2 linked regions of the Notamacropus eugenii genome follow. The protein of the gene in region 2 binds, or shares a complex with, the protein of the main gene of each other region. Links are inferred from orthologs where the notes say so. Each region holds a gene or a part of one and is shown on either strand. Other genes may lie near its edges.

Region 1 (12,229 bases), about 170 Mb from region 2:
TCTTCTATGCAACATGATTAAGGTGAAAATGCATTTAATAGGAATGTATGTGTAGAACCTAGATAAAACTGTACGCTGACTCGGGGAGGGAGGGGATGATTTACCCCCTCCCTCCCCAAGTCGGCATACAATTTTTTATGGCAGTGACTGTAGAACACTGAAAACAAATAAAATAAAAAAAAAAGTGGCTCCATTACATTTATAGATTTTAAAATGAGATATAGGAACTTTTTCCACCCGTGTTGTAACAGTATGTTTCTGTCACAGATTTGGTTCTCTTAGCAACAGAAATATATGAGAAAGCAGAATCACTGAAGACCATGGCCAGGGACTACAGATTTGTGACACTACAGATTTGTGCCTGTTGTAATAACAACAGCTTATGTCCATTTAAAAGGGCCAAGATGACTAGCAAAAAGTCCTTTGTTACTATCTGCATTTGGAGGGGAGATCAGCTTTTTTTAATCAAATGGGCATCCAAGGAACTGAGGGGGTGCTTCCTAAGACGATGACACCTTTCTAGAAAATCTGGTGTAATGCTACAATTACTTCTCTTAGTTCTAACAAAATTAAAAGTCAAGAGAAGATGAGAAAAGATAGCAGTAATAGTATCAGCTAAGACTTATACAAAAATAAAAAGAGGCCCTTGGGAAGCAGGCCAAAGTTCAGGTTTAAGACTTTGGCTACTGTCAAATTAGGGAAAGGTGATATCATGGTATGTCTAATAAGTAAAGTACTTTATGCTAAAACAAAATATCACCAAATTTAAGGATCAAATTAAATTTATAACTGTAAACAATTTAAGAATTACTTACAAGGCTGCTTTTCAACAGCATCAATGACACTTTCCAAAGCATCTTCAAGCTCTAATTCAGAGACAGGCTCAAAAGCTTCAGTGAGGTATTTAGTGGCTTCACTAATAAAAGGAAGAAAAAGTAGGAAATTGATTTTAAAAAACAGGTAATTTATGCTTAAGAGCAAAGTACTTTTTAATATTAAAAAATGACTAATTACTAGACTAAAATCACCAATCTATTATTGAAATTTAATCTTGCTCTCCTGAAGAAACCTTATACATCTATGTGACTTCTGCTCATGTTAAAGCAATGGGGCAAGAGAGGAGACAGCATGTGTCAAGCAAGTCACACCACCACCACTAGCTTGACCACAATTTCCCCCAATACCCTGAAGGGGAAAGCCAAGAACCCCGAACCAAAGAGTCTTGGGAATAGCAGTGCCCACCAAACAACCAGACCTGCTTCCAGCACAAACCTCACTGCCATTATCTGGGGAAGCAACTCCTGTGAAGGAGGGGCTGGGCCTCTGTACCTTCCCGCCAACTCCACCCACAGGGTAGGCAAGCCACCTGAGCTGATGAAGCAGGAAAGGTACCCTGAAGGAGAGATGGGAAGAGATATTTGCCAGGATGGTTGGCTGGTTGTTGACCTTCATCCTTGAATAGAACCAAAATGATATCACTATGATAAAGTCAAGTTTCAATGTGTCCGACTGTGGCTGATCAGACCCATACAAGCTCGGAATGCTCTACTACAGATTGGGCACAGAGAGTCTGTGTGAACATCTGTGGTAGACACTCTAAATTTGCACTTCCTATGCTTCCTTTGTGCTGTCTTAATTCTGCTTTGCTCATAGAGCACAGCACCTTCGCTGATGTGGGCACACCATGCTGAGTGGTCCTGTGTCAGTGTCTCCCATATCACACAATCAATTCCAAAGTTCTTGAGAGAGACCTTGAGAGTGTCCTTGGATCACCTCTTTGATTGCAAAATCTACACTAGCTTCACAGTTCTCCCCTGCACTGCAGCCACTCCAGAAAAATGTGTATCCAGTTCTGACTTCACGTAAAATACCAATACCACATCTCCAGAACCCTGAACCCAAAAACCTAGGGACCAATGACATTAAAGAAGAGGCATTAACATCTGTTTTTGCCACTGCACTCTAAGGTCTACAGGATTTTTCCATCTAATTTGCAACTGAAACTTTCCATGTGCTGTGTCCCCCATTAGATTGTGAGCTTATCCCCAGTACACATAGTAAGCACTTAATAAATGCTTTATTCATTTGTTCTGTATAGAACTGAAACTGGGGATCACCCAAAAGGGGGATGAAATGGTAGATGATGGGCCTATATAGCCTGTAATACATTACAAACAAAAAACAAAAAAGGAGCAGTATCAAAGGAGTCATCAAAGAAATGTATGACCAGAAAAAAAAAATGGCTGGATTCATTTCCTAATGACTAGGAGGGATAACCAAAAGGCAGCCCATGTGCTCCACTAGAATGCATGTAACATCAAGAGAATAAAGTAAGGGTTCCTACACCATTGGATGGACTACCCACAGTGAATATAGGAGTAGCATGTAATGAACAGACATGGCTAAGATTCAGTTGGCATCACTGAATCACCCATGTCCCTGATATTATATATACAATGGAAAATCAGAGTAGTTGAAAAAAATGACGTAGATCAAATAACAGACTTTTCAAATGAGCTTAAAATAACATACTTGATCTTTTTAGACATTTTGCATTTAAGACAAATTTCTTATGACTGGGAATTTTAAACACAGACAAAAATTAAAAGTCAAAAGAAATGCTTTTAAAAAGAATTTTAGAAACAGTTTCTACTTAGACTAGGGGTCAGAGAACTATTTGGTAATTCTGTATAAAAATGAAAACTGGATATAAAAATATTTTTAAAATTCACTTCACCCAACCTCTCTGGATCTTTTTTTTAATCTGTAAACACAACCTGCTAGACAAATGATCCCATTCCTACAATATGTCATATGTTTTCACATATACATACATTTTATCTCACTGCTTCTTCCTCTTAGAATCCCTTCCCCACATCCTACCCATCCTTTTAATGCACAGCTCTAATACCTGCATAAGGTTTCCCCTAATCCCAACAGGAAAGAACATTTCCCCACTCTGAACTTCCATAGTACTTTGTATCTTTTATGATACTTTATCATGTTCTACTTAAAGCAATTATGAATAATATCTTGCATCTGTATAGCACTCTACAGTTTTAAAGCACCTTCATAAACAATCTCACATTATCCATTATACTTTGCAGTCAATATGTTGTACTCTTTATTTGCTGAAAAGAACTGAACCTCGTCTTAACAACAAGATTGTTCCTTATGAGCAGGAGCTATTTTAGACTATTTTTCTTAACCCATTGCACCTAAGAGTGCTAGGATTAGTCAGAATTTAAATAAACACTTGTTGACTTAATTCACAAATTTAAATGCCTATACAACTCTTTAGTTATTTGCGAGTTCACAGTAAAATAATTTAATGCTCCATTTTCTTGGCTTAGCCAAGGTTTTTTTTTTTTTAAATTAGTGTATATATATATATATATGTATATTATATATATATATGCACCCAAAAGGGCTATAAAAAAGTGCAATACCACTTCTCTGTATCCCGAAGACATCATAATGGGAAAAGGGCCCACATGTACACAAATATTTATAGCAGCTCTCTTTGTGGTGGCCAAGAACTGGAAATCGAGGGGATGCCCATCAGCTGGGGGATGACTGAACAAGCAGTGGTAGGGGAATGTGATGGGATCTTATGGTGCTGTAAGAAATGCTGACCCACTGCACACAGCTGCAGCCAGGTTGTGTGATGACCAACTGATAGACTTAGCTCTTCTCTTCTCACAATGCAAGGTTCTAAGACAACTCCAAATGCTCCTGATAGAAAATGCTGTCCACGTCCAGAGAAAGAATTAAGGAGTCTGAAAGGAGATCGAAGCACACTATTTGCTCTCCCTTTTTTTTTTTGTTTCTTCTTTCTCGTGGCTCATTCCATTGGTTTTAATCCTTCTTTGCAACATGACTAATGTGAAAATATGTTGAATACGAATGTATATGTAAAGCCTATATCAAATTGCCCGCTGTCTTAGGGAGGGGGCGGGAAATTTAACACTCAAAAGCTTTGTGGAACTGAATGTTGTAAACTAAAAATAAATATATTTTTTTTAAAAAATGGAATATGGCTGGCCAGTTTGTCCTCTTACAACTCAGTGACTTCCTGACCTATAGAATCCTGTTTGGCTTTCAAAGTCCTTCACCACCTGGCCCGCCTTACCTGTCGGCGTCACTGGCTTCTCTCCGTCTCCGGAATCCGCGCCTTTGCACAGTCTGTACTCAGTGCCTCCTCACCTCTATCAAGACTCAGCTCAGACCCCTGCACTGCAGACGGCCCCTGCACTCCCTCGGCCCTGCGGATCACCTCCGTTTATCCCGCACCTGTCGCTTCCTGTCATTAGACTGGAAGATCTAGGACAGCAGGGCTTGTCCTCTGCCTCGCTCTGTACGGCCAGCACCGGTAACAGTGGGCGCTTAATAAATGCTTCCATCTCCCTCCTTCCTCGGGAAGTCGGACTCAGATTTCCCCAGCCCGGGCTGGGGCGCGCCGAGCCCAGATGGGGGGCCCGGGCGTTGTCCGGACCCGCCTCCTTCCCGCACCCCCCCCCCTTCACCAAACGTGCCCCGAGAGAACTCACCCCCGGAGCAGATAGCCCCGCAGTTTAAAGGCAGAGACCACTTTGCTCCGCAACCGATCCGGCGCCATCTTCGGATTTTGGCGCCAAGGCGGCCCAGCCTCCTTCGCCTTCCCCTCCTTTTCCGCAGGACCCGCCCCCAGCCCCGCCCCTCCCCGGAAGTTGTGCCAGCCCCCGTGGCCTCGAACGGAGCGCTGCAGCGCCCTGTCTGGTGGCCCCTCGGTTCGTTTTGACCCGGAAGCGCTTCCTTTCCCCCTTTAAGAGAAAAGTCCTCTGGCGATGTTAACAAAGGCATGCGTTTGGAACGGGCTGGTTTTAGGGTCAGCTACTAGCCAGACTTTTATTTTTTTAAAGGAAGGCTCATCCTGGACTTCAAAAGAGTGAGACACGGCGCTAAGCTGTTTGTACCTGGAAGGCACTATCATGTCCTCACCTTTGCGACTCTAGAATAGCTGTTTTGTTCTAACTTCAGTTCAGCCGCCACCTTGAACACGACGACCTTCGGGGCGCTACCCCGCCTGCTGGGGCTTAGACCCCTCCCGCCTGAGGAGCTGGCATCTAACGACTTGGGACGACCTGTAGCTTTTCCGTATGTGGGGACAGCCGTGGTCTAACGAGCTTCTAACAGTAGGCCAACAACCCCCTTCGCCACAGAAAGGACGAGGTGTTATTTAGCTAGTTAGGTGGAGTCCGATCCAACCTCCCAGACCAAAGCTTAAGGGAGCAGTAGGCTTACTTCCGGTCTGCTACCCTCCCTCTAGCTTAAAAATTCCGACCTTCCCCAGACTCTTCTTCAGCTGGGCTTTGGATAGCTTGTACTATGTCAGTGTCACTGCTCTCTTTTGGTGCATCTTTAACTTTTCCTTCCAAGCGTGGATATTAGTGCAGGAAAACTTGGAAAAGGTACGGCTCTTAAAGAGAACACTTCAACAGCTGTTAGTTACTGCAGTAGCTGTTGGGGTGAAGAGGTAAAGGATCATTCAGGCTTACAATGAACCAGGCTCAGATGAACAGAAGCACGAAGGAAAGCTACTAACCACTGCTATTAAGGAATAAAGGCTCATCCCACTGCTATTAAGGAATAAAGGCTCATCCCAAGCTAAAGATTGAAAAAAAACCTATTTTTAGCTGGTGAAATTTGCTTTTTCATTCAAGGATATACCAAACCATTGTCAGAAGTCTGGGTGAGCCTATATCTGTAAGCTGCTTGCAAGCAGGGATTGTTTCACTCATATTTTTATCATCAATAGCTAGCACACATAATAGACTCCTAATAAATACTTGTTAATTGATCTTCATTAGACTGTAAGACATACAACCAAAAATGTTTTGGGGATTTTTTTTTAACTTATAGCGAAGCTGGAAATCTTGTCCCTGTTCATTATGAACCATAATAGATTGGTGTGCTTAAAAAGCAGAATCGTTCCAGAATTACAGAAATTCTCCAATGGAGATAAAATACTGCAACTTACAATGTAACACATCAAGAAATTTGTCTAAGAGATGTACATAAACGTTGAAGTCAATGGGCTAGGAACTCACCTGATTTAAACTCCATTGAAAACATATGGACTATAATCAAGTCTAGACTTTAAAAAATGAATTATACACTTACTATAAAAAAGGATGAAAAATTTAAAAGTCCATGTCTTCAAGGAGCTTAAAATCTATTTGTGGAGGGAGGGAGACAACATGAAAACAAACTATGTACAAACCATGTAAATTTACAAGTGTAAATTCTCTCAGTAGCTAGGTGGCATGGTGCTGAGGACAATGAATATCAATGTATATCCTTGAATGAAAAAGAGTGCTGATCTTGAAGTCAGTAAGACTCATCTTTCTGAGTTCATATCTGGCCTCAGACACTTATTAGCTGTATGATCCTGGGCAAGTCACGTAACCGTTTGCCTCAGTTCCCCACCTGTAAGAATGAGCTGGAGAAGGAAATGGCAAACCATTCCAGTATCTTTGCCAAGAAAACTCCAAATGAAGTCACAAAGAGCTAGACATAACTGAATTGACAACAAGCAAGAAACCCCTGTTCCAAAGATCATTGATTGGTAGGGGACACTCGCCTTATTCATGGAGATCCATGCCCTGCCCTGTGTGGACTTTACCAGTCCTCCTTTAGGATTCTTCAGAGACTCTTCAGGTGAGAGCCCTCTATCAAGCTTCTGGTCTTCAAGCTTTGAGTCATTGTGGGTGATTCTGGCACTTAGAAATGAAAAATGGGAGAGGCAGTTCACAACTCAGGCTGCTGAAGGAAAAGACTCTGAGAAGATATGAATGGAAACGGCAGTCTTCATCATGTCCCTATCTCCAGCTTGCTACACTAGAGACTACAGTGAGTTTCTCCTTGGATGAGATCAAGGACAGTCTTGGTGGAGCTGAGTTACCTCACTCCCAGTGGAAGAGCTCTTTCACTCTATATTGTTTGATATGTATTCACCTATTTCTCTGATTTCTGTTTTGCTAGGATTTAGATAAATGAGTTTCTTTGCTATTTTTTATGTGTTTACATACTCCTTAGTAAACCTTAAAACACACACATATATTTACAAGTATGCACATATATATATGAATATATAGACAGATACATATACACATAGATATAAGTAAAGAGAGTGATGAGCAGGGCGTAAGGGGTTGTCCTTCCACTCTCTCTTCCAGAGACTGATCTCTGACTGGCTATTTTTATACTCCCCCAAAAGGAGAGGGGTATCCTTGCTGTGAGGCAAGCCAGGTAAGACTGTGGAACCAGAACGTAGGTGTACAGTATTAGTTCTTTCCTTCCATTTGTCTTTCAGATTTGAACGTTTCCTCCTTTGTAAGGGCAATAATAATAATTAGCATTTATACTTTAAGGTTTGCAAACCATTTTCAAAGATCTCATTTTATCTTCATAACACCTGGGAGGTAGGTGCAATTATTGTCCCCTTTTGAGACCAATTGCAATTTGATAAGGATAACTTATTTGCAATTTGATAAGGAAACTGAAGCAGATAGAGCTTAATTGACTTGCCCAAGATTATTCAGTGAATAAGTGTTTTAGGCCAAATCTAAACTCAGGTTTTCATGACTCCAGACCCAGAGTTCTATCCATACCATCTAGATCATCTGTACTAAGGTAGCTAAGTATTACCTCTTATAGGCAACCTATCCCAAGGCCAAAGTTGATATAGAGATTTGCTTTATATCACAGCCCACGCAGTGATCCTAGGCCCACTAGCCAGGACCTCTCTCTCCCTAGGAGCACCATGGGGGAGAAGGGCAATCCTGAATCTTTGCCCCTTTAGAGGATTCTTCTGAGGGGCTGTGTTCTTCCTTCACGGGGAGTGGGAAAAGACTCTTCCTCACTTTCATCTAGGAACACAATATTGTTACCAAGTCAACTAAGGGATTCACTTTCTTCTATGTAAGTTCACATTAACTATAATTAAGTAGAGGTGGTTTTCCCCATGAATGAGCAAATGAAAAAGGATTTATGAAATGCTTACTATGTGCCAAGCACTGTGCTGAGGTTTGGGGTTATAGATATTAAAAGTAATCCAGTTCCTACTCTCAAGACCTTACCTTGTAATAAGAGGAGACAACAGAAAAGAAAGTTCAGCTACAAGGCACATAGAAAGGCCCAGAAGTTCTCAGGGTGATGAGACAGATGAAAAAAACCAGGGATCCTTAGGTAACATAGATGGGACAGATAACAGTACTGGAGACCTTAGGTGTCAATGTCAGAGAAGATGAAAGGCCTGTTGGTCTTGGCATTGGAAAGGAAGGTACCCCTCAACATCTGTACCCCTTGGTCCTCCAAATTCCTTTCTGAGGAGGCATTGTCTAAACATGCTATGAAACAATTTTCCAAGTGAGGACAACCTGAACCATTGGGACCTCAAACTCTTAGCAGCTTCATACTGGGGATAGAAAAGGTAAAGAATATAACCATGCCCAAAAACAGTCCATCTTTACTGGCTAAGTATTATTAAAGGCCAGGGCCAAAAAACTTCAGGACTGAAAAACTTATTCTCTTTCCTAAGATAGGATCAATTTGTCAAGGATATGACTTCTGAGAGTAAGGACACCAATTCTGCTATTCAGAATTATAATGATAAAGCTACTGTTTCAAGATTATACTTTGGGGTCAGAGCCACAATGGTAGAGTACAGGCTAAGAATTCACCTGAACTCTCCAAAATTCCCCTCCAAACAATTTTAAAATAATGCCTCAAAACAAATTCTGAAGTGGCAGGACCAGCAAAAGAAAGGGGTGAAATAATTGACCAACCCAAGACAACTCAGAAGGTTGATAGGAAAGATCTATCTCACTGGGGTAAGAGTGGAGAAAAGTCTAGCATAGGCTGCACCAGTACAGGCCATGCCCCAACAAGTCAGGAGCAGGTCTTGAGGGCTGTAGCTTCCAGAGTTCTTAGTCCACAGATGGTAAGGGTTTTCAGATAGTTGGTCAAAAGGACATTTCAGGGCACCCTTTGTTGGCCCTGGAGGCGGCCTCTGTTGCATTGCCCATACATGGTTCTGGGTCATAGTCTCAGGATTAGGAGGTGCACTAGCAGAAGCAGAGACCCTGGATACAGTTCCAGGGTATAAAAGAGAGCTTGTGGTCACTTACAAACCAGAAAACAGGCCAGGAGAGCACATCACACCACTCCTTAAACCATACCACCTTGGAAGAACTGAAAACTTGTCAACCCCCAGAACTAGCTCTGAAAACAAAAGTACAAAAAATCTGAAGTTTGGAACAGTGTTCTCTCTATGCTGGGAACACAACCCAACTTTAACACAAAGCTAAAAGTCAAGAAATAGGCTAGAAAAGTGAGTAAACAACAAGAAAGAATCTGACCTTAGAAAGTTACTATTATGGCAGGGAAAATCAAAAGGAAAAAACTCAAAAGACAACAATGTCAAAACAGTGACATTCAAAGTATCAAAGAAAAATATGAATTGGTCTCTGCCCTTTCACCCCCCAATTCCCATAAAAGCTTGAAAAGAATTTTCAAAATCAAATAAGAGAGGCAGAGAAAAAATTGGGAAAATAAATGAAAGTGAGGCAAAAAAATCATGAGAAAGGAGTCAACAGCTTGGCAAAGGAGGCACAAAAGGATACCAAAGGAAAAAATGCCTTAAAAAAAGAAAGAGAATAGGCTAAATAGTGTAAAAACAAAAAGGCACAAATATCTACTGAAGAAAAGAACTTCTACTTAAAAAGTAGAATTGACCAAGTGGAAAAAGAGGTACAGAAGTTCATTGAAGAAAATAATTCCTTTAAAATTAAAACTGGACAAGTGGAAGCTAATGATTTCATGAAACATCAAAAAAACCAAAAAAACAACCCAATAAAATAAAATCAAAAATGAACAAAATAAAAGAAAATGTGTTATGTCATTGGAAAAATTACTGACCTGGAAAATGTATTAGGGAGAAATAACTTAAGAATTATTAGACTACCTGAAAACCATGATTAAAAAACATGAAGTTGTTTGAAATTATCCTGGAAAACTGCCCTGATATCCTAGAAGTAAAGGGTAAAATAAATTGAAGTAATGAACTGATCATATTGCTATATATTTGAGAAAAAAGGCCTTTATCAGAAACCCTGGCTGTATACATTGTTTCCCTGCTTTCTACTTCCCTTCTAATCTTGTTTCATTAGTTATGTTTATGCAAAACCTTTTTAATTTAATATAATGTAATCAAAATTATCCATTTTGCATCTCATAATATTCTCTGTCTCTTGTTTGGTCACAAATTCTTTTGTTCTCTATAAATCTGATGGGCAAACTATTCCTTGCTCTTCTAATTTGCTCATGGTATCATCCTTTATGTCTAAATCACGTACCCATTTTGACCTTTTGGTTTAGGGTTTGAGATGTTTGTTTATGCCTATGTGTGGGATGGCTCAGGTCCCTACATAAATCAATTACTCAGAAGCCTCTCAAAGTGATGACAGAAAAGAGATTTATTTGATTCTCAAGAAGTGGGGCTAACCTGTAGGAGTAGGAAAGCCGAAGACAAAGAAAAGGGCAGTGATTTATATAGACCCTAACACAAGTCCCTGCTCCCCCCACTGACCATTATCCTCATTAGCTGAGAATATGATCTTACATTCTAGACACGAAATCTCACCAATCCTTTTTGAAATGAAGACATCGAGGAATTATGTGAGTTTTGTCCAGTCATTGAGACCCTAACACACTACATAGTTTTATATCCTTATATGGAACTATTCTATTCTAAAAGTATTGTAACCTTGAGCCTTTAGGCCTTACCTCACCCCTGGGAGAAGAATTACAATCTGAGACATCTTCACTAAACCTATCCCACTCACCTAGTTTCTGCCATACTTTTCCAGTTTTCCCAGCTGTTTTTGTCAAATATTGAGTTCTTATCCCAGAAACTGAAGTCTTTGGGTTTATCAAACAGTAGATCATTACAGTCATTGATTATTGTCTTGAGTACCTAATCTATTCCACTGAACCACCATTCTATTTCTTACCCAGTAACAAATAGTTTTGATGATCACTGCTTTATAATATAGTTTTAGATGTGGTATGACTAGGCCACCTTCCTTTGCCTTCCCCGCCCCCCCCCCCTTAATTCCCTTGATATCCTTGAGCTTTTGTTCTTCCAGATGAATTTTGTTATTTTTTTCTAGCTCTATAAAATAATTTTTGGTAGTTTGGTTGGTATGATACTGAATAAGTAAATTAATTTAGGTAGAATTGTTATTTTTATTATATTAGCTCAGCCTTCCCAAGAGCAACCGACGTTTTCCCAGTTACTTAGATCTGACTTTATTTGTGTAAAAAGTGTTTTGTAATTGTGCTCCTATAGTTCTGTGTTTGTTGTGGCAGGTAGACTCCCAAATATTTTATATTGTGTACAGTTATTTTAAATGGAATTTCTCTTACTATTTCTTTCTGCTGCATTTTGTTGGTAATATGTAGAAATAATGATGACCTATGTGGGTTTATTTTATATCCTACAACTTTGCTAAAGTTGTTGTTTCAAATAGTTTTTTAGGTGATTCTCTGGCATTCTGTAAATATGCCAACATATCATCTGCAAAGAGTGATAGTTTTGTTTCCTCATTACTTATTCTAATTCCTTCAATTTCTTCTCTATTAGAGGTGGCATTTCCAGTACAATATTTAATAATAGTGGTGATAATAGACATCCTTGTTTCATCTCTAATCTTATTGAGAATGCTTCTAACATTTAATTGCATCAATATTCATTAAGGAAATTGGTCTATAGTTTTCTTTCTCTGTCTTGACTCTCTGGTTTAGGTATCAAGATCAAATCTGTGTCACAGAAGGAATTTGGTATGACCCCTTCCTTACCTATTTTTTCCAAATAGGTTATACAGTATTGGAATTAATTATTCTTTAAATGTTTGGTAAAGTTCACTTGTAAATCCATCTAGTCCTGGGATTTTGAGGAGGTGGTAGGAGAAGAGTTCATTTATGGCTTGTTCAGCTTCTTTTTCTAAGATAGAGTTATTTAACATTTTATTTCTTGTTCTGTTAATCTGGACAATTAATATTTTTGTAAATATTCATTCATTTCATTAAGATTGTCAGTTTAGTTGGCATATACTTAAGCAAAATAGCTCCTAATAATTGCTTTTATTACTTCTTATTTAGTTGTGAATTCACCTTTTTTCATTTT
Region 2 (12,254 bases):
ACTGGAAACTAAGGGGATGCCACTCAGCTAGGCAATGACTGAATGAATTATGGTATAGGATTTCAATAGAGAAATTTGGGGAGAAATGGATGCAAAGTGAACAAAACCAGGAGTACAATTCATACAATAACAACACTGTAAAGACAAAACAATTTTGAAAGACAAGAATTCTGATTAATTCGATGACCAACTATGAATCCAGAGAAGTAATGATGAACCTACCACTTGAGCTTATAGATTCAAGGGTAAGAATGAGGACGTGGACAACAGGGGAATTTGTTTTGCTTGACTACAGCAACTAATAATAGTTAGCATTTACATACCACTTTACAAATATTGTCTCATTTAATTCTCAGATCAGCCATGGGAGGTAGGTAGTATGAATATATTTTTAACAAGGATTTTTTTTTTCCAAATTGGGGAGTGGAGAAAGAAGACAAAATACTTGTTAGCTAAGAAACAACATTAAATAAACTCAAAAGCTAATTCCTTCTTCACAGTTTCAGGTGGTCATCCAGGCTCTTCTTGAATATTTTCAGAAAGAGGAAGCTCACTTTCCCACAAAGCAACCTCATCTACTGGACAACTCTAGTTGCTATAAGGAGCTTCCTTTGTAGACATCTGCTTTCCTGTAACATCCATTTATGGGGTTCTACTTCTCCCCTCTGGAACCTAGTAAAATAAACCTATTCTCTTTTCTGTAACAGTCAGTTTGGTATTTTAAATACCAGCAATCCTATCCCTTCCCCCACCCCCCAGTCTTTTCATGATTAGGCACACCACAATCCTTCTTCCCCCTTCCAAATTCTTTCAACATTCAACAAATATTCATTCATGACATGACCCAGAAGGCAAAGAATGTATTTGTGAAAGAAGAATTAACAAGGCTGAATGATTAGTGGGAAAATTTTGAGGTAATAATTTCAAATAACTGTCAAGATTTGACAATATTTAATCCATGAAAGCAGTGTCATGAGGAACAGAACTGCAGAGCTATTTCTGATACTTGAGGAGCACCTGCTGGCCACCCATGGAGCTGCATAACTCACTTTCTATGGTTCCCATATTACAAAACATGGAAGACTCAATGAAGAGGTCAGTTCTTTCCCAATAGTCACCACGAACAGATGTGGAACAGCAAAAGGCAACAATTTTAACAACATTCTTTATTTATACAAATCATTATATTTCCCTCCCCCCAAACTGTCCCTATAAGCCACAAATAAGTCAATGGTAGCAGACTACATTTGTTCACCTGTCATACTCCATAGATCAAAAAAATTAAAGCCGACTATGGGGAGAAGTTGGCAAGAATCTTTACCCCCAATTCTCAAGATGGCTCTTAATAGAGGGACTGAATGTGGTCACTGTAGGAGCCCCCTCTGGCTGAACACATTTTTTTTTTGCCATGGGGATAAAGGTCTTCTAGGAGCTACCAACTTTCACTCAACTTGAAGACAAAAGTACTTGGGAGTGAATGGAAGGGGAGCCTAAGAAAAGATGAAGGCCCCATCAACACCACTTTAGAAAAGTGGTTTACTAGAATTATATTCTGAAGCATCATTATATTTTATAACAGTTATTCTATCAAGCTGTCTTTAAAAGACAAGAGTCAATACTCTGGGATTGAAAGAAAACCTTACATTTTTTAAATTAAGCTAGACTGACTGTCATAAGTTAGCAAAGCAAAACAGTCTGGAGAGAGTAACTGTGTAGTACCTGGTGGAAATGAATTTTGGGGCTTGTCACCTGCTAAATAAAAGAGCCAAGCTCTAAAAGGATGAGACACCTGTGAGGTTCACTACAAAACCAAAAATAAAGGGACTACGTATACAAAAAAAGTCTGTTTTCAAACTGTTGTTCAGTAGGCAGGGGAAGGGAGAGAGAATTTTGAGGTGAAATACCTACTTTACATTAAACCCAGCACTCCACTAATATAGTGAAATGCACATTTCAAAACATGTACAAAGTGCAAAGTAGGGTGTGGCAAATAGGGACCAAGCTCCAAACTCAGCAAGACACTAGGTGAAGGAAGCCTCAGGAAGAGAAGATCACAAAGCAAAGAAAGCAGAATTTTGCTGAAAGTTACTTTCAAAGGAGTGAGAGTTGCATTCTCTACCCCACACTTTTTTGGATATTCCCCCGGATCCAGAGTGCCTCGACTACTCTTTCAACGAGCGATGTCATTGTCAGTCATAGGCTAACTCATGCTCAGAGTTCAAACATCTCCAATTTTCAGCTGCCTCTACACCCTCTAAATAATAGCTAGTATGAAATGTGGGTCATAAAACAGGAAGTGAAATATATGAATCTTCTACATTTTTTCCCACAAAAATTTGATTAAATGGCAGTTCATAACCTACCTTGTCAAAAGGTCAGTTTATAAACTATGAAAATGAAATTGGAAAGATCTCATTCAGAAAAACTCTGGTTTGGGGATTATTCAAGAAGTATTCCTAGGTCCTCATATGGAGGCATTCTTAGCAGTGGAGGAAAAGGCCACAGAATTCTCTGTCAAACAGTACAATGGAGGCAACAGTGCTGAACCCCAAGTTTCTTATCATCTGACTCCACATTCTCTCCATGAAGCTCAATTGTCAACCTCTTCTTCATCATTCTGCTCCTCTTCTTCCATTCTTTCATCATCCTCATCATTATCATCTTCCCTGCTCTTGTCTTGCTCCTCAGAATCCGTTCTTTTGTCTTTATCCTTCTTTTTTTGCTCTGAAGCTTCCTTCTTACCTTTCTGTTCACGTCTATATGCTAGAAATAGAAGAAAGCTATAAGGCAAGGCTAAGGGCTTGGAGACAGGTTCAAATGAAGACACATCTATATATATACAATACTGTATTTAAGTTCATCTGGTTAAATTACATGACCATCACTTTACAAGGAGCTATGTCTACCCGCCCAATAAAATACACCAGTTGTTACCATCTAGTGCTTCTTTCAAAGGGGAAATGAATCGCTGAAATTCCATCTCTTCCATTGCTGATAGCACATCACCAGCATTTAGGGTCTTTCGTTTTCCTTTCATTGCAAAGTTGTTTGCACTTAGAAAAAAAAAGAGAGATGAATTATCTTGGCCATGTCTTACTTCAAGACATTTAAAGACAATTAACAGGTACATGTAAGCAAATCTGATTGCCTGACCAAGCCCACATCTAGGGAGACTACCTGTAGTCTCAAACTTTAACCTGTAATTACAAATCCCAATTACTCTAGTCTGGTAAAGAAAGAGAAGTGTGAAAAATACCAGATGCAGCCCTCTTAAACCATGTGAAGCTTGAAGGGCTACCTACTTCAAAGATGATGTAGCAGGGAGCACATCATAAATATTTGCTCTTATTATTACTGACCATCTTTTCACCTCCTTATTTTACTAATAAAGACATAGAAACTGAAGCCTAAAGAGAAGCTGACCTTTGAGATCAGACTAGTGGCTCTCTCCTAAAATCAATTCAGAGGGTCCATGAAGTCAACCTTATTTTCATAACACTACATTCAAATTTTCAATACAGTAAACACTGATAGGGATACTTTGCTCCTACAGAGGACTGGGGGTGGCTAAGCTCATTTCCTGAGGGAGGCAACATAGCATAATGGAAGGAGTACTAGCGCTGGACTAAGAGTAAGGAGAGTCCTAATTCTGTTAATTGGTTGTGGGACCTTCAGCAAATCTTTTCATCACCAAGTTTCTGTGAGATCAACTTCAGAATGAAGCTGTACTTAAGTTCAAGTTCAAGTCAACACATTTCCTAAGTGTCTTAAATGTGTAAGACTGAGCTAGGTGCTAAGAGAGAGGCTGTCACTGGACCTATTATGAGTTCATTGGTATACGGTACTCTCAGTGGAGGAAAACTTTCTCTAGAAAGCAAGTCCACCCCTTCTCTGAAACTTTATTTTAGAGAGCTGCTTAGGGCACTAGGAGAGATTAAATGACTTGTCGAGAGTCCCACTGCTAAGTTATGGGTCAGAGGCAGGACCTGAACCCAGGTCTTCCTGATTTCTGACTTTCTCTCCAGGTATAAGCCAAGAAGCTTTTGGGGATACAAAATCCAACAGAAAACCGTCCCTGCCCTCAAAGAGCTTACATTTCTACGGTGGAAATACTAAATGCGGACACATATATACAAAAAAATAACCTGATGGGGGTAACTAGGGGAAGGACGGAGAAGCTTCTTGGACGAGGGCTGGGGATTTAGGGGAGGTACGTGGAGGACACCCGGGAAGGGGGGCCCGACAGCCCCGGGTCAGGAAGGGCAAGCAGCCCCGCCGGGGATCTGCCGCGGCCCGAGGCTCTCACCAGGACGTGGCGTACAGCACGAACACGCTGGCAGCCCGAGAGATGGCACTCCGGGCCTCTTTGGAGATGTTGACGCCGTCGGGGAGCTGCAAGGGGAGACGGCCCCCGAGTTAGTGGGGTGGCCCCGGCCCCCGCCCCGGCCCGGCCCCCGCCCCGGCCTCGGCCCCGCTCACCGCCTCCTTGATGATCCTGGTGATGACGGCGTTGGGAAGGTTCAGGTCCTCCGGACGTTCCGCCATGGCCACCGCGCCTCTCGTCTGCCCCGGGACAGCCGCAACCACGCCGCCGCCGCCGGCCTCCGAGACAAGGCGGCAGTTGCGGCCCGGACCTCCGCCGGCCGCGTCGCTCACCCAGGTCGCCTCTCCGGCGTCCGTACTTCCCGCCCCGGAGCGCGTGTCCCGCCTGGGCTTCCGTTCGTACGCCCGCCTCCCAGCCCCAGCGCGTTCCACGCCCTCCCGGAGAGGCGCCGGCCTCGTGCGTTCACGCCTGGAGACTTCCCCCGATGAGTTTCGGCCAATCCAAGGCCCGCCTGGCCGGGTCTGGAAACCGGAGAGCCCCGCCCTTCCCGGCGGTCCCCCAGGGTGCAGCGCGCGGTTGCCTAGAGACTCTTTTAATCCTGTCAGGGTCGCTCCGACGTAGAGGAGGCTGGCTTAGCCTAGGTCTCAGTCGGGCGGGGTGGCTTGGTCCGTGCTGCCGTTCCTCTGCGGCTCTCCGAGGGCAGGGATCCCCTGCGAGCTGCGCTTCCGCCTCCCTCCTCGTGGGGCGTCCTCCGCGCCTCCCCTCCAGCCTTCGCCCTTGGCGGTGCTCGCTGACCGGGGTGCTGCTTCATCCTGACTCCCGGTCTCTGCCTTGTGCCTGCCCCGACCTCCCTCTCCGCCGTTCTGTTCCTCCCTGTGCCCCGCCTGATCCGCACCGTCCTGGGTCTCTTTCCTCCCCAGCCCTGTCCCACCCCGCCTCCGCTGTGCCGTCCTCTGAAGCCTGCCCTGACCCCCCCCCCCCCCCTCCCCGAGCATCCCATGTCCCGCACGCCCCGCACTTCTCCATCTTACTGCAGCCTGCCTCCTGGCTTGCGTTGCCTTTTTGAGACCTTGCCTGGCATTTGCTTGGTGCAGGGAGCTCTCGGTGAGGACCGTCCTCTCCCGGGGCAGAGCTGTGATTTCTCTGCAGTTTATCCTCTTAGTTACCCAGAGTCCTGCAGCCTCCGTGTCGGAGGCAGGGTTGGAGTCCAGGCGGTGTGGACTCTTAAGCCGGCTTTCTGTTTGTTCACTCTCTGCCCTTGCTGCTCCCCTCCTCCTTTGGTCTGATCTTCCCAAGGTTCCGGAATCTTTTCGTCTTTAAGCTTGTCTGACTCCCTGATTTTCTCCTTTCTTAGAAGAATCTCAGGACTAGGCTTCTGCTTCCTTTAACTGTAGAAAAATTTCCACTGGAGACTTTTTTTTACTTTTTTTTAGATATTTTAAGTAATACACAATTATTAGTAGCACACACCATTATGGATAGTATATTAACAAGCTTGTGTGGTGAGGAAAAATGAAATGACATATGTGAAAGTGTTGAAAAATAGAACATGTCGTATAAATGCAAGATAATGACTTATTAGGATTTGGAATTGGAAGGGAATTTATAGATCACTCTTTGACCCCTTCATTTTGTATATGAGAAAACTGAAGTGGAAAGAGTGGAAATTGCTTGTCCAAGGTCACAGAATTAATAAATAGTGAACTCCATCTTCAAACCCAGGTCGCCTGACTCCACATCCAGTGTTATTTTCACTACCCCTTGTTTATCTGCCGCTGTATCAGTATTGTATCAGTTTGGTGGCTGTTTGCGGTAGGGAGTAGACACTTTTTAATTTCACTAATGATTTTTGGATCATCTGCTCCTTTGGTCTCCATTCTAACGCATCTTTTTTTGAGGCGACATAGATATTCACAATCAAATTAAGATGTGGGCTACACGTTGCCATGCAGATATAACTAATGATACTGTGTCATATTCCCTAGCTTATTTAATTCTTGTTTCCGTAGATGGCTAATGATCTTGAGGTTGGTTTCTGCTGTAAATCTGTGATAAATATCGAATTGCCAGATGTCAGTCAATGGGATGAGACTACCTGTCCACAACTTGTTTGCCAGCATCCACAATGTTGGGCAACAGTCCGAAGGCTTCAGAGGGGTCATCCTCGAATTCTTCAACCAATTTCCAGAGCTCCTAAGAAAAGTGAAGGTGAACTGACAATACCCTTTCATATTTGTCCAAAGACCCATATATGTGGTATATTTGGCTTCCTTTCTGACTAGTTTTTAATATGGTCTGCATTTCTAGATGAACTGCCAACTCTAAAGATAATAGATTTATCTTTACCTGATTCTTCCATTTTGGCCAAGAGAATCGCTGATTCAGCCCCGTTTTTCAAGCATCCTTGTTCTTTGACTGGAGACTCTAAATTTGATTCGGATTTACAAAGCAGGTGACTCATCATGAAAACACCAGAAACCATGTGTCTCAGGATCCCAGGTGGTTATTTTTTAGAGCCATGCCCCAGAATTTGCCATGCCAGGTTAAGAAACAGTGAGCCTACCATGGGAAGAACTATTTCTCACTAACAAAATGAAGTGGTGAGTTGATATCGAGGCAAGAGAAAGAAATATTTCCCTTTTTTGGGTTCCAATAGAAATGCTAAACTGAAGTGTATCTGGACAATTGCTTCAAATAGGTTAAGAATTTTCAAGATGTTAATTATTTGGATTAATTACTTCATGCTTGAAACTATATTGTAAGCTCTGGGAGACAGAGAGGTGGTTTTTGCTTTCTTGGATGTAACATTGTAACTGGCACATAGTTAACTAGGTGCACAATAAACACTTGAAAGTGAATTTTCTTGGAGTCAAAGTATGGGTGTTGGGCCTTTTGATATACTTCATAGTGATTAGTTTTTCCTGCTCAGTGGTGCCTGGTGGGCTCTAGGAGATAGGGTAAAATTAAGGAAAGGATAAGATGGCTTTCAGGTTCTCTAAGATTTGAGCTTTGGAGAAAAGAATGGAATGCTGCTTCTCCCACTGTGTGAAGGTGGACATGTGGTTGGCATGCATTCACACTTTTCTCTTGGACTAAAGCTATAGTGCAGAGTTGACAGGGAACTGCTATATCAAGTCAATCTTGTCAATTCAGCTGTATTAATGTATGTCTTATCTATCCCTTGCTTTCCATTTCTATGGCAGCTGTATTAGTTCAGACCCACAGGGCACCAACTCATGCCTGGACTGTGGGAATAACTTTTTAATTGGTCTCTGCCTTTTTTCAGTCCATTTTGTACACGTAGACTAGATTGATTTTCTTAAAACACTAATTAGCATGTCTTGCCTCCAACTAAAATTTTTCACAGGCTTCTTAGCACTTACAGAATAAAGCCAAAACTTGAGTTTGTCATTCCAGGCTCTTCACTCCATTTCCACTTTATCTTCTACTGTTTTCCTACCTGAACCTTACTCTTTAGCTCAGCTAGTGTACCCATTGTTCTCTGATCACGCAATTCTGATTTTCACCTCAGTGCCTTCAATTATATTGTTTATACTACTTGGCGTGTGTCCTCCTAGGCCTCTCAGCTTATTTGTATGCTATCCTTTTAACAGCTATAACTGCAAATTGTATTTATTGCTTTGAGACTTACAAAGCCCTTTCTTTAGGTCAAACCTATGAGGGAGGTATTTTAAATATTCCCATTTTATATATGAGGGCACCTGAGGCTGAGAAAAGGGAAGTACTTTGCCCATGGTTACAAATCCAGTAAGTGAGCTGTGACCTGAATCCAGATCTCCTGAGTCCAGTTTGACGTTCTCTCCATCTTCCTGAACTGACTTTCTAGACCCAGTTCTCTAGTCTCCATGAAATCTAACCAGATTGTTTTCTTTTATGAGTGACTGTCTTGCCATTTCCTCAGAACTCCTGTAGCAGCTAGGTGGAATGGTGCATAGAGGGCCTGGAGTCAGGAAGATGTATCTTCTTGAGCTCAAATCTGGCCTCAGACACTAGCCCTATAACCCTTAAGTAAGTCATTTAATGCAGTTTGCCTCAGTTTCCTCATCTGTATCATGAACTAGAGAAGAAAATGGCAAACCACTCCAATATCTCTGCCAAGAAAACCCCAAATGAGGTCATGAAGTTGTATATGACTTAAAATAACTGAACAACTACTCACTATATAGCTAACACATTCTGCCTTTGATTTATCACGTACATTTCCTATCCCAGCTAGAATAAGTCTCTTGAGGATAGGGACTGCATCTTATACTTCTGTGCCCTATATGTAGGAAAGGTTCCACATCCACACCTGTCTGTTGGTCACGCTACATTTCTTTGCTACTGGATTAGGAAGCAGAGATTATTAAAAAGGGAAACTATAAAATACTGAGGTATTATGTAGAAGTGTTACTGCTATAAGCATGAGGAAGGTTGTTCCTCCAAGATCTTCCCTGCACTAGCCTTTATTTTCCTCTCGCTTTCTCTAATAACTTTTATGTCTGTTTCAGTTTGGAAGAACCACATTTATTAGGACTCAAATCTCTGAGAGGTTTCCATGGTCAGGGTTTTCCCCAGAAGTCTAGAAAACCTGCCAAAGTAAGTCACAAAGAAAAATAATCCACAGATGTAGCATGTATAGTATGTCTCTCCAGCTGAACTGCATAGCACAGAATAAAATGTGTTGCCTCTGGTTAACACCCTATATTCTTGTGTGGGCCGTTAGGTGGCGCCATAGTGCATAGAGTGCTGGAACTGAAGTCAGGAAAACTCATTTTCCTGAGTTCAAATTTGGACACTTAATTAGCTGCGTGACCCTGGGCAAGTCACTTAACCCTGTTTACATCAGTTTCCTCATCTGTAAAATGAGCCGGAGAAAGAAATGGCAAATCACTCCAGTATCTTTGCCAGGAAAACTCCAAATGGGGTCATGAAGAGTTGGACATGACTGAACAACAATATTATTGGGTAGTATCTTGTTTCATGACCAAAGAGAGCCCTGACCCCTGAGGTATACAGATAACTTGGGGAGATCGTTGATAAGAAGAAATATATATGCATATACACATGTATATGCATATATATGTAAAGTTATTAAATTATTGCTAAACAGGGCCCAGGGCAGTTGCCCTGGGCTGAGAGAGGACTTGATGATTTGGGAGCAATGAAATGGAAATACCTCTCTAACTCTCTAGTCAAACAAAAGGAGGAGATTTGCAGCTTCCTTAGTTTAGTTTATAGTATCCAATGGGATACTATAACACACACATATGCACATACCACATACCACATAGGGTTTCAGATCCCAGGAGTGGTGGACAGGTTGCAAAGAGAACATAGCACATTGCATTTGCTTCCCTGATTGTCTGCATAGGTCTAGAGTTGTCTCAACCCCTGCTCTTGGGGATAAGTCCTGGGGAGGATGGGCAGTATAATTGGTCTTCATGGAAGGAAGCTGATAATCTTGTCCACAGAAGCCCACTCAGATGTTTAAGGATGTTGAACAAAACAGTACTCAGTATTAGACTCTGTAGGGGAGAAGTATCATTCATTTAATGGACCACTAGATTTAGTCCAAATCCTGACTCCCATCACATAATTTGGATGTAACCTATATCGAGTTATATAATCTCACTAAGCCTCAGTTTTCTAATCTATAAAAATGATGATACTTTGCGTCATAGCTTTGTTGTGAGGTTCTAATGAGTATGTATTTGTTCCTTATATATGCATATATATTGCTCTGTAAACCATAAATCACTATATCAGTGTTAGCTATTATCATTGTTATTATCAATCTCCCTAACTGACTCCGTGCCATTTGGTTACTCATCTGGAGCTCAGCACCTGGGCCTTATAAGCCCAGGGGCAAATGAGCATTGCTCATATCTTTTCACTTTTTGTTACAGCTCCCAGTGCTGAATTTGAATGCAACACGTCTTCCAGAATGTTTGGATGGTGGGAATTTGTTTATGGTATGGATCCCAGATGAACAAGTGAAATACAAGAAATCTGATCAGAAGCATAGGACAAAGTGAGCACTGTTCCTAGCCTTGGGAGTCCTTAGATCTTATGCTTGTATGAAACTTCTGGAGATTCTCTACCTCTAGGTTTCTCTCTGGTAACATTTTTTTTTTAGAACAAAAATTTAGAATTGTCTCCCCCCTTTTTCTCCCCCTACTTGTCAGGAGTAATCAAAGCTGTGCTTCCTTTAGGTAGATCCTTTGCTTAGCCTTTTCACCTCAACCCTAAAACCCAGTTGTACTTGTATAGAATAACTCTTAAATACTACTTTTGTACAAAACAAAGTGTGCTACAGTTCCACATAGGAAAAAGTAAAAAGATTTATTGACGTCTACAGCTGAAATAGGAAAAGGATGACTCTTATGTCTGTTGGGGCTCCCAGGCTCTGATTGAGGGATGTTAAAGTTGATAAACAGTGAAGAAATGACCTGACAAACCAGACCCTGTCACTTTGATACATGCTTTTACTTAGCAGCTTCTTCAGTGGCCTCACTTTTGCATAGCTGATGTGTGAGAGAGAAATCGCCACCATTCTCAGCCAGCATTATGGATGAGATCTCATCATTTTCTGACTAATCCTTGTTTCTTGTATTTAAGGTATCTGGGAGTGGGTAGTAAGAGAAGTACCAGACAGCTTCTCATTCCTAGGCCTCTTCATGCTTTAGTTTCCTTAGACTGAGCCCGGATAAGAAATCATTTGTACCCTTGAAGATCAGCAAAATTATGCCATGCCAGGAGTGGATCACCAAGAGAGCAGCTCCGAAGGTTGTAAACTGTGTTTAGTTTTACTGATTAAAGTGTTGATGCTTTTGTTCTGTTAGTTTAGACTTTTTGTCCTACCAGTTCTCCTCAGCTCCCAATTAAGGAAAGGATCCAGGAGACATCCTCCAGTTGGAGCCACCAAACTTCTCTTCATTCCAAGTCTCTTCCATTATCTACTTATGTTTATCCATCTGGGGAGAAAAACTTTATTTGTAGATCTTTCTAGAGCAGACATGCTTAATTGAGTGCTAGGGGAGAGGACATAGGGTTACCTGGTTACCAGAGTGAGACAAAAATGATGTTGTATGGGAAGTGAGAAGTTGTGAAAAATAAAGCAGGAATTGTGCTTCAAAGGAAGGAAGGACCAAGTTAGGATTAGTGTTATAAAGCTAGCATGTGGATTGAAGAAGTGCGAACCCTAGGGTGGTGATAGGAAAACGAGGGAGTTGTTTTCACTATTTCTCTTCAAGAAAAAGAAATCAACAGGAGTCCCTACTGGTGGGCAGCCCTGTACTACGCAGCTGATGCATCGATGGCTAAGGGTGCCCCCACCATCTCCAGTCACCCCACCTTCACATCTGGAATCCTTGTCTTCCTGGGCCTTCACATTTCCCAAGCATTCATTAATGAGGTGAGCTTTCCTTAGAGCATAGCATGGTGTAATGTTGCTTTTGGAGTCAGAAAGATTTGGGTTTGACTCCTCCTTCTGACACTTATTAGCTGTTTGACCTTAGGAATCACAATCTTTCTGTAGCCTTAGTTTTTCCTCTGTAAAATGAGGATAATAATTGCACCTATCTCATAGGATTATTGACAGAATTGGATGAGATAATGTATGTAAAGCACTTTGCAAGCCCTAAAGCATGAAATAAATGTTGAGTTCTTCTCCTCTTCCCCCTTCCCTCCCATATCTCCTTACTGTCCTCTTCTTCCTTCCTTGCTCTTCCCCCAATTTCTCTTCCTTCTTTTCTCTCCCTCCTCCTCCTTCTTCTCTGTGAAGACCAAAAGGTGAACCTGCTTCTTTCTGAGTCAAGAAGGATAAGTACAATGTGTGTCCCCTCCTAATGTTTCCACTTTTGCCTTAGGTTCTCAACTGGGCACAGATGGGTGGTTGTATCTCTAGATAAGTATCGGAAGATGGTTT

Evidence for each region.
Region 1: POLE3 (region 2) and POLE2 share a complex: the UniProt entries of both Homo sapiens proteins name them as parts of the DNA polymerase epsilon complex. The link is inferred for Notamacropus eugenii from reciprocal best matches to the Homo sapiens genes POLE3 and POLE2.

The regions. Positions count from the first base shown.
Region 1 is NC_092872.1:309,328,619-309,340,847, reverse strand, and holds the start of POLE2 (DNA polymerase epsilon subunit 2), read right to left. Parts: upstream 4,677-12,229; 5' UTR 4,619-4,676; coding exon 4,551-4,618; intron 917-4,550; coding exon 816-916; intron 1-815. UniProt on the Homo sapiens protein: Accessory component of the DNA polymerase epsilon complex. Participates in DNA repair and in chromosomal DNA replication.
Region 2 is NC_092872.1:478,310,759-478,323,012, reverse strand, and holds POLE3 (DNA polymerase epsilon subunit 3), read right to left. Parts: upstream 5,207-12,254; 5' UTR 5,164-5,206; coding exon of another isoform or gene 5,121-5,163; 5' UTR 5,120-5,120; coding exon of another isoform or gene 4,809-5,119; 5' UTR 4,546-4,808; coding exon 4,480-4,545; intron 4,393-4,479; coding exon 4,307-4,392; intron 3,054-4,306; coding exon 2,935-3,053; intron 2,764-2,934; coding exon 2,591-2,763; 3' UTR 1,152-2,590; downstream 1-1,151. UniProt on the Homo sapiens protein: Accessory component of the DNA polymerase epsilon complex. Participates in DNA repair and in chromosomal DNA replication.